Cricetulus griseus: one gene and its partner. The protein of the gene in region 2 purifies or fractionates together with the protein of the main gene of each other region. This does not show direct contact. Links are inferred from orthologs where the notes say so. Each region holds a gene or a part of one and is shown on either strand. Other genes may lie near its edges.

Region 1 (4,347 bases), on a different chromosome or scaffold from region 2:
AGGATGATTGACGTGTCTGTAAACCATTTGTTGTTACAAATGCTGTCAAACAATTTCATGCTTTCATGCATCCGGTTCTGAAAAACAAACAGGGTTACAACAGGTTAGCATCAAAATGAAAGCAGATTCATTTACATACCAAAAGGCCTTAGGACAGCAAAATGAATTATAGAAGTTAGGCACTAGTACAACTTGAAGCTGAATCAATCCTGGTTTGTGTAATTCTTGGGGTTAGGGGATGGCAAGGGGTGGCTGACACGATGCCATCCTGCCCACATAATGTGGCTACCAAGAGCAAACGGGGAATGGAACAATTGATTTTGGAAATCTAACCTCACTGACAAGAAAATAAAAGGCATTAAGTTTGGATTTCTGTAAGCAAATGGCAGCAACACATTTTCCTGGGTTATGTTCGTTTCCTAGCTGTATCGGATGATTCCAAAGCTTCAACATACCATTTCCTCATCCTCGGCCAGAACAAGGTCATAGTCACTGAGGGCCACACAAAAGATAATTGCTGTCACTCCCTCAAAACAGTGAATCCATTTTTTTCGTTCTGATCTTTGGCCACCTACATCAAACATTCTGAGTAAAGAAAGAAAACACAGATTCAGCAAAGTCACACTCATATTTCTCTCTAGTATGTCATGGCTAAGAACCTCCCCATTATCACACATTCAAACCCCATTTATAACAGGAAAGACAAGGATCAAATCAAACATGTCTAAATAATTGTCAGTGGCTAAAAGTAGAGCCCACAGCTGAGCCTCCCTCCCTCTCAAAACATGTACTGGATGTGCCAAATGTCAGCGGAGTTAAGAACTAAAAATGGATTCAAGGAAGGAAGGAAAAGAAAGGATAAATGAAGAGCTGAACAGTACAGCTTAAGATAACTGCAGCCATAACAACTAGTATTTGTTGGATGTTTACCATGGTGCCAGGCACTACCCTAGACCATCTGGCACTCTAACTCCAGTTTCTATAGACTTTCCTCAGCCCCACTATGCTGCCTCTCAAACTGGCTTGTTTCTGCACACCCATCTTGCATTCTGACTCCCAAGTTTATTTGCCTTGTGTTAATGAAAAACATATAAGGAAAATTATGGAAGAAATTAAATTTTATACTAGGATTCTAACAATTTGATCAATAATTTTTCTTAAAATCTGTGCCAAGTTTGGGGGCAATGACTATAATCTCAGCATTTTGGAGGCTGAGGAAGAATGGCAAGTTCAAGGCCAGCCTGTCTACACAGCAAGACTATCACAAAAATAAACTTAACCAGTATTCCCCAACACCTTACCTTGCTTGAACCTAATCAGCAACAGCAAAGCCTCAATTGTTCACACACTGTGTTCTATTCCAGATTTGTTTTAGACTTCTAAGTGCTAAGTTTGTGTCAACAGTGTCCATTTTTACCTCCTACAATGACGGGAACAGTTGCCCTACATCTTTTAGTCAATACCTGAGTCTGATGGAATCAGCATTCAAATGCTTGCACACTCAAGATCTGTATCTGATAGCAATGGTAAAGTTTTTAAAGGCTAGTGTCTGCTGCACTGGTGAAATCTTCAGTAACTCAGAGCCTAAATTTCCAGGGATTTTCACCACTACAGATTAAGAGAAGTAAGATTCACATGATTTCTCTAATTATGTTTGACATGAACATTCATCCTATCTCTTCCTGACCCAACTCTTCCTTGGAGGATCTTGCAGTTCTTTGCAACCTTTGGTCTTACATGACAGCTAAATGATTTAATCACAAATTGGCCTTAATCCAGAGTCGTATTGAAGGTTTTAGAAAGGCTAATGTTTCACTATAAAAAACTTTCAAAGAGGGGCATATTAGTACACCAATAATTCCACTTTACATCCCATATTCTGTAAGTCCATAAAACTAGCAGAATACTGTAAATTCCCAATGCTAGCTTTTAGTACATAATAACACAGTATTATTCACTAACAGATCAACATTTTATAAACATTACCTCATAACTGAGAGGCAAGTAAGCAATTATACAATGCCTTGCATATGGTAGATGCTCAATAAATGTTTGAATAAATGGATAGTGGTTTTGCCTAGAGAGAAGAGGAAAAGGAGAGGTGATAGTACTTCATAATCAGATATCTACATGCCAATAATAAAGTGGACGTGGCACTTTAATCGGACTTGGCTACTGATCCTTGCATAGAAAGAAAGCTACCTTGCTAAAGATCAATCTATGACATCAACCAGAAATGTTTCCCACACTGAATATTGGTCTTGGTATTTAAAATTGGAACTGAATTATTAATTTTATAATACACAAAGAAGCATCTCGTTCCTATGACTTCACAGGTAATCCATATAGTTCCTGCTGATTTTGTTAATTAAATCACCAGTACTTACGATAAGCAGCCAGTTTACCCTAAAACCATTCACCAGGTTCCAAATCCATTTTAGTGTGCTAAGATTCCAATACCTTACTGGGCATTGGTGGCACACACCTTTAATGCCAGCACTCAAAAGGCAGAGGCAGGCAGATCTCCTAAGTTTAAGACCAACCTGGTCTACAGAGTGAGTAAGTTACAGTACAGCCAAGGCTACATAGAGAAACCCTGTCTCAGGCAAGCAAACAAACAAACAAACAAACAAAAAGATTTCAATACTTTGTTGGATGGTAGTGGTGCACACCTTTAATCTTTAATCCCAGCACTTGGGAGGCAGAAGCTGGTGGGTCTATGAGTTCAAAGCCAGCATGGACTACAGAGTGAGATACAGGACAGCCAAGGCTACACAGAGAAACCCTGTCTTAACTCGCCTGCCCCAAGATTCCAATACCTCAACTGGTACTAGTGTTTAAGTCCTGTGTGGACTTCTTCATTTGAGGATCAGAGGTAGTAGTAGTTTCCTTTGTATGAAATAATGCTGACTTTCACATGTCACACATAATCATAAGCAAGCAACTTCTTGAAAACTTATCATGCCTTGAAGGAGAAAAGGTTATTTCCAACCTCAAAGGTCACAAACAGAAAAAGGAACTAAAAACAGTTTTAGTATTTTTAAAAGACCATTAACAAAAAGAGAAGTGGAGGCCTTTTCTAAGAATTACTGGTGCTATGAGAAACTCTTTTAAAACACCAGAATGTCCTCTAAAACAATTGCTGTTTCTGTCATCATACCAATGCAAAATACCTCTATCCCCAGGCCTAATCTGCACTGCACTACAAACTTAATTGAGCACAATGCTATCAATACAAAAGCCAAGCCAAGTTTAGCTCCACCCCATTAAACTTAATGGGAAAGGGAACCAGCGAGAGGAGTGGTGCTGCTAAGAAAATATTTCTACTTTGGTATCACAATGTCAGAGTAAAGCCATCTATGAAAGATATTTTCTACCTATTTAGTACTGTTGCAATCCTAACAACAGTCAATACCTATTTGACAACTAAGAAAAGTCTCGAAAATAAATGTGAACTAACACAAATTGGCAATTATATGATTAATGCTAATGATAGGTAAATTGCTATTTAATTTTATATTCAATTTCCTCTAAATGGATTTAAATACTGATGCTACCTGGAGGAAAAAAAAAAAACTGTGTAGGCTTCAATCAGATGTGACATTAAGTTAATGGCCAATAAATATATTAAATTTCTAAACCAAGGAACACTGCTTACAAAAAAGGCTTGTTAACTTACTTGAAGTATAGCTCCTTGAAGGTGAAGTGTGTCTCCACAATGCCTGTAGTTTTCACTCTTGTCCGAAGAACATCTTGTTGAGTTGGAATGTAGTTGGTCTGGGATATTCTATCCAAATCATTTAGGTAACTAGATGAAATATACATTGGTTTTTACTTGGCAAAGCCAACCATGAACACAACAAGTCAACAGACTAAACTCTCTGCTTGAGACTAGCTGGCTACTAGCATGTGTAAGACCCAAGATTCAATCCCAAGTACTAACAAACCACAAAAAAAGTAGACCCTCAAATTCACCTCAGAGGCAGAAAAATATTAAATCTTCAGTATTACAAGGGGGGGGGGGCAAGTAAATCTAGCATAGGGAAATTAATAGCATCTATACATAGTAACAAAAATGGTTTTAAATATACTGTGAAGGCAAATTTTAAAAACAAGGCAATTTTATTCCTGCTAAAGAAAACTTCCTGAAATCTAACATAAAATGAGTTATGTACTTAATACAGAAAAAAACAAAAACAAAAACAAAAAAAAACCAAACCTACAGGTGGCACAGACCTGTAACCCTGAACCCCAGAGTTCCAGTAAAGCCTGGGCTACATAGTAAGACCTTATGAAAACAAAACACAAAAAAATTAAAACAAAAGCTCTCATATATCTAAATTTATG
Region 2 (4,411 bases):
TTCAGCCGTCGTTATATCCTGAATTATGAACAAGCAGGATGCTGTTGTATTGTTTTATGAAAAGTTTTATTAAGTATAATGTACATATAGAAAAATGCACCAATTCAGAGCCTGCAATGCTGCCCCTAGCAAAACAAAACAATCAAGTCCAAATGTCTGTCTAGCTTTACTTTCTCCACGTTTTTTCAAAGTATTTTCATAGACATCTGTTAGCTTGATACTTGCAACAGTTACAACAGAGCATAGTGTGGGGCTGAAGTTTAGGCATTCTGTCAAAAGTGGAAATTTGGAATGTATGCAGTGAGATCATAACTGCAGGAATCTCTCCACCGTGTTACACCCACTGGACTGGGGATGTATCATTTCTCGAAAGAAAAGAAAAAAAAAAAACTTGGACAGGAAAAGAGCAGATAATCAGTCAACCTTTAGCATCTGATTGGTTGCTTGGAGGCGGTGCAGGTTGTGATTGATCAGCCCCTCAGGTAATTAAATATTGGGGATTTCTTCCTCCAGACACCAAAGGCCATCCTAGTCTCTTGAGAAAAGGAAGAGGTTAAAAATAATTCTGCAATTATACCGAATTTCCAAAGGAAAGAACTATTTGAACGTTTGTGGGCTTTAGCATTCTTAACTCTTTTTTTTATCTTTCCTGTTTAGAAAAGATTTATATATTTTTATTTTCTCTGTATGGGTGTTTGTCTCCATGTGCGTATGTGTAGCACATACATGCCTTGTGTCCACGCAGGTGAGGAGAGTGTGTAGGATCCCCTGGAATTGGAGGTGCAGATGAACGAGAGCTGACACGTGGGTTCTGGGAACCTAATCTGGGTCTTCTGCAAGAGCAGCCAGTGCTGTTAACTGCCAAGACATCTTCCAGCCTATTTATCATCTTCCCATTTTTAAAACCAACCAAAAAAATTGAACAAATACACAAATTGAGCAGTCATTAAAACATTTATTTTGAGACAGGGTCTCATATGTAATTTTAGTTTGCCTGGAACTCACTGTATAGACCAGGCTGGCCTCAAACTCATAGAGACCCACTTGTCTCTTCCTTCTTGTACTGGGATTAAAGGTGTGCACAGTGACACCTAGCATCAATAAAACTTTTAATAAGCATCTAGTAACATAATTGAACCAGCTATCTTTAGCTCTGATCCAAATCACTATTTTTTTTTCTAAGCCTCAAATGGTTTGAACTCGACAGTGGTGTATTTTAGCAAATAGCCCAATTATAAAAATATGATGCTTTGTGGACTAAAGGTCACCTGGATCTTCCTTATAGCTTTGGGAATGCAGTATATAGACTCTCCGCTCAAGAAGTTGCTTAGCCAATGAAGCCCAGAGCGGTAGGGCAGTTGTGAGTACTTTTCTGAAGCCACTAGGAACGTGAACACTCTTTACAGGAAAGGTCTTGTACCATTCAGACTTCCCGAATGTAAGTTACAGACATGAGTGAAGCAGCGTGGATGGGCTCCAGGCAGAAGCTCGAAGAATCAACCCCTCCCACCCCAGAACCTCTGAGCTTCATGTGCCCCTCTCTGTAAAGTGGGTAAGTCTGACACCCCACCCTTGTGCTGACCAAAGAATTCTCTGTGTGGGGGTGCTGAGAGCCACATGCAGCCTGCAGAAAGTGACCCCCTACTTACAGGAGGGTGTGTGCTCCCCCGGCTATCCCTTTATTGCAGTGCTGAAAAATCAGACCTAGGACTTTCCCAGTGCTGGGCAAATGCTACCACTGAGCTATTGAATTCTGAAGACAGAATTCTACTTTAAGCCAATCGCTTGTGAAAGGAAGTCATCCCATTTCCTAAGCCAAATGGAAGTCATAGTATTAGATGACTTCAAACTAACTCCTATACTTTGCACAGCCTGAAGCATTTTGGAAGCTAGGGCAAAGGGGGAGGAGAGATATTCTACCTGAATTTGCATCTTCACAAGCTACCCACTTTAGGACAAAAATACTACTTTTGGCAAGTATTTAAATGAATGGCTTCCTCTCTACCATTCTTCCAAAGTTTACTTCCAAACAAGGGACAGAAAACCAAGTCACCCGACACCATTTAAAGATGAAAAGTAGTAGCTCATGAAGAACCTACAGACCTGCTCTTACCCAGGAAAACTGGTTCAACTCATTGCTTGGGGGAACCCCAAATGTAACTCAAATACTGAATTAAGCTTCATCCTACATTATATGTGAATGCATTCCTCGCTACAATGTCCATTTTTAATTTCAGACTTGTTGGCTTGAGGAGTGAAAGTCATTTTGCCCCTCTTCCAGCATTCTTAGGGCCACCCCCTCCGCCCTGCAGTGTGATGCTATTAGCTGAAAAAACCACACCTGACAAGAAAACAGAAACAGCTGCTCTGTCATTTTGGCAGCTCATGTATCTCCTCATATTTTAGCAAAGTTGGGAAAACTGATTTATATGCAAATCCAAACAACTGATGAGTTCCTTGATCTAATTTGAAAAGGTGTCTTGAGGAATTTACTCAACTGGTACCCTATCTAACGAACCCGAGAATCGGAAAGCTAGCGTGAAGGGAATACTCCTGAAGGGAACAGAAATCATTTAAGGGCTTTCCATCTCGAAGGACTGAAGACTTACGGAAGATCTCTGACAAGACATCTTAGAGGAAAGGGGTAAAGAGAAGGTAACCCACATTCTCTAAGAGGAAAGAATAACCCAAAGTTCCATGTCTCAGAGCCCAACTTCCTGAACTTTTCTCGGGGTCCCACAAGGGGGCTAGCGTTGGAAGAGGTGCTGGGAGTCCCTACCTGCGTTCCTGAGCTTCTTGTTGCGGTACACAGACAGGATGACCAGCAGGTTGCCCAGGATGTCCACCACGATGGTGAAGATGAGGATGAAGGCCAGCGTAGAGGCCAGCCACGACGGCCGCTGCTGCCCACCCTCCCCGCTGCCTGGTGCCTGCTGTGAGGCATTGAGTAGACCGCTGCCATTGCCCTTCATGGTCCCCTGGGTGTCTCACCGCAGCGCAGCCAAAGCCATCGTCCTGTCGCTCCGCGCCCCCGAGTGCCTGGCTCTGCTCCCGCCCTCTCCGCCACTTTTTATGGCTTGGCACAGCCCTCCCGCGCCTACTTTGCATCCTTAAGGCTGCTTCGCGGCGGTCCTGCCCCCTCCAGTCCCTCCCCGTGGCCGGACACCCTCTCTGCATTTGGCCGCTGACGCCTGCTGACACCTGCTGTCCACTGCCGGGCATCTTGGACTCCAAAGTCCCGCAGCACGTGCACATTGCGCCCTCGTGCGGGTAGACTCGGCAAGACGGGTGGAGCCGGCAAGCAGAGAGGAAATGAAGCTTTTCTCCTGGGATCTGGACCCACCCGGCATGCCACAAGGCATGGACTTGAACCCTAACCGGGACAGGAGTAGGTAACTGAGACACCAGATTCCCTAGATTCCTTATCGGCAGAGTGAGGATGAAATAGACTCTTAACTCATCAACTTTACAGTTACTGATGTGTAAAACTAAAATAAAAATGATTAAAAAAAAAAAAAAAGGACACCTTTTCGCTTTGACAACAAACCATACAGTATTTTGTGCTGGGTTTTTCGGGTAATTAAACGAAAAAAAATGTAAATATCAGTGAAAACAGGAACACGAGAAGAGAAAGCTGATGTAGAACCACAATGCAAGATTGCTGGGGAATGGATTAGTCAGCTCTGTACAGAAAGAAACAAAACCCCAAGACGTCCTGCGACACAGGAAAGGAGGCTTGCACAAACTAGGAGACATATGATGCCCTCATATTGAACACTTAAAATTCCCATGTTCTTACTATGTTTTATAGGAGCCCAATTCCCAAACATCTCTAGAGTCCTTTGAAGGAAAAAAAATGGAAGAAAGGAAATTTGAATAAGATGAATACCAGAAAAATGTGACCTTGCAATATTTAAAATAGACATTAAAAACTAAACAATGAGGCATAGTGGTTTTTGTTACAGCGCTGGAGGCTGAGGCTGGAGGATGGAGTTGCACAATCAGCCAGAGCTGTAGTACAAAGTCCTGTCTCAATAAATTATATTAAGTAAAGCTGTTGCATTCATCAACAATTTCAAGAAGAAATGAAATGCTGGATAGAGGGGCCTGAACACATAGCTCTGCTGATAGAGTGTTTGTGAAATCCTAGGGTCAATTCTCGGGACTGTATAAACAGGATATAGCATCTCAGTCATATAAACCCAGCAACCAGGAGTGAAGGCAGAGGGTCAGAAGTTCAATGTTATCCTGGGCTATTGAGGACAATCTTGGAATGTGTGACATGCTACCTAAACAAAAAATAAAACACAGGTTTAAGAAGGCTACCATTTAAATTAACAAGAACAGGAATACATGCTGAAAGCAAAGATATATTTAGGGAAAACCTAGACAAATGTTTCTATGACCTAGG

The links. The genes of interacting proteins can lie anywhere in the genome.
Region 1: the proteins of Mtnr1a (region 2) and Gnai3 purify together in Homo sapiens (tandem affinity purification; 3 studies listed by BioGRID and IntAct, with this or other methods). This does not show direct contact. The link is inferred for Cricetulus griseus from reciprocal best matches to the Homo sapiens genes MTNR1A and GNAI3.

What each region holds. Positions count from the first base shown.
Region 1 is NW_023276806.1:49,019,688-49,024,034, reverse strand, and holds part of Gnai3 (guanine nucleotide-binding protein G(i) subunit alpha), read right to left. Parts: intron 3,809-4,347; coding exon 3,680-3,808; intron 586-3,679; coding exon 456-585; intron 78-455; coding exon 1-77. UniProt on the Homo sapiens protein: Heterotrimeric guanine nucleotide-binding proteins (G proteins) function as transducers downstream of G protein-coupled receptors (GPCRs) in numerous signaling cascades.
Region 2 is NW_023276807.1:41,376,272-41,380,682, forward strand, and holds the start of Mtnr1a (melatonin receptor type 1A), read right to left. Parts: upstream 3,037-4,411; 5' UTR 2,973-3,036; coding exon 2,780-2,972; intron 1-2,779.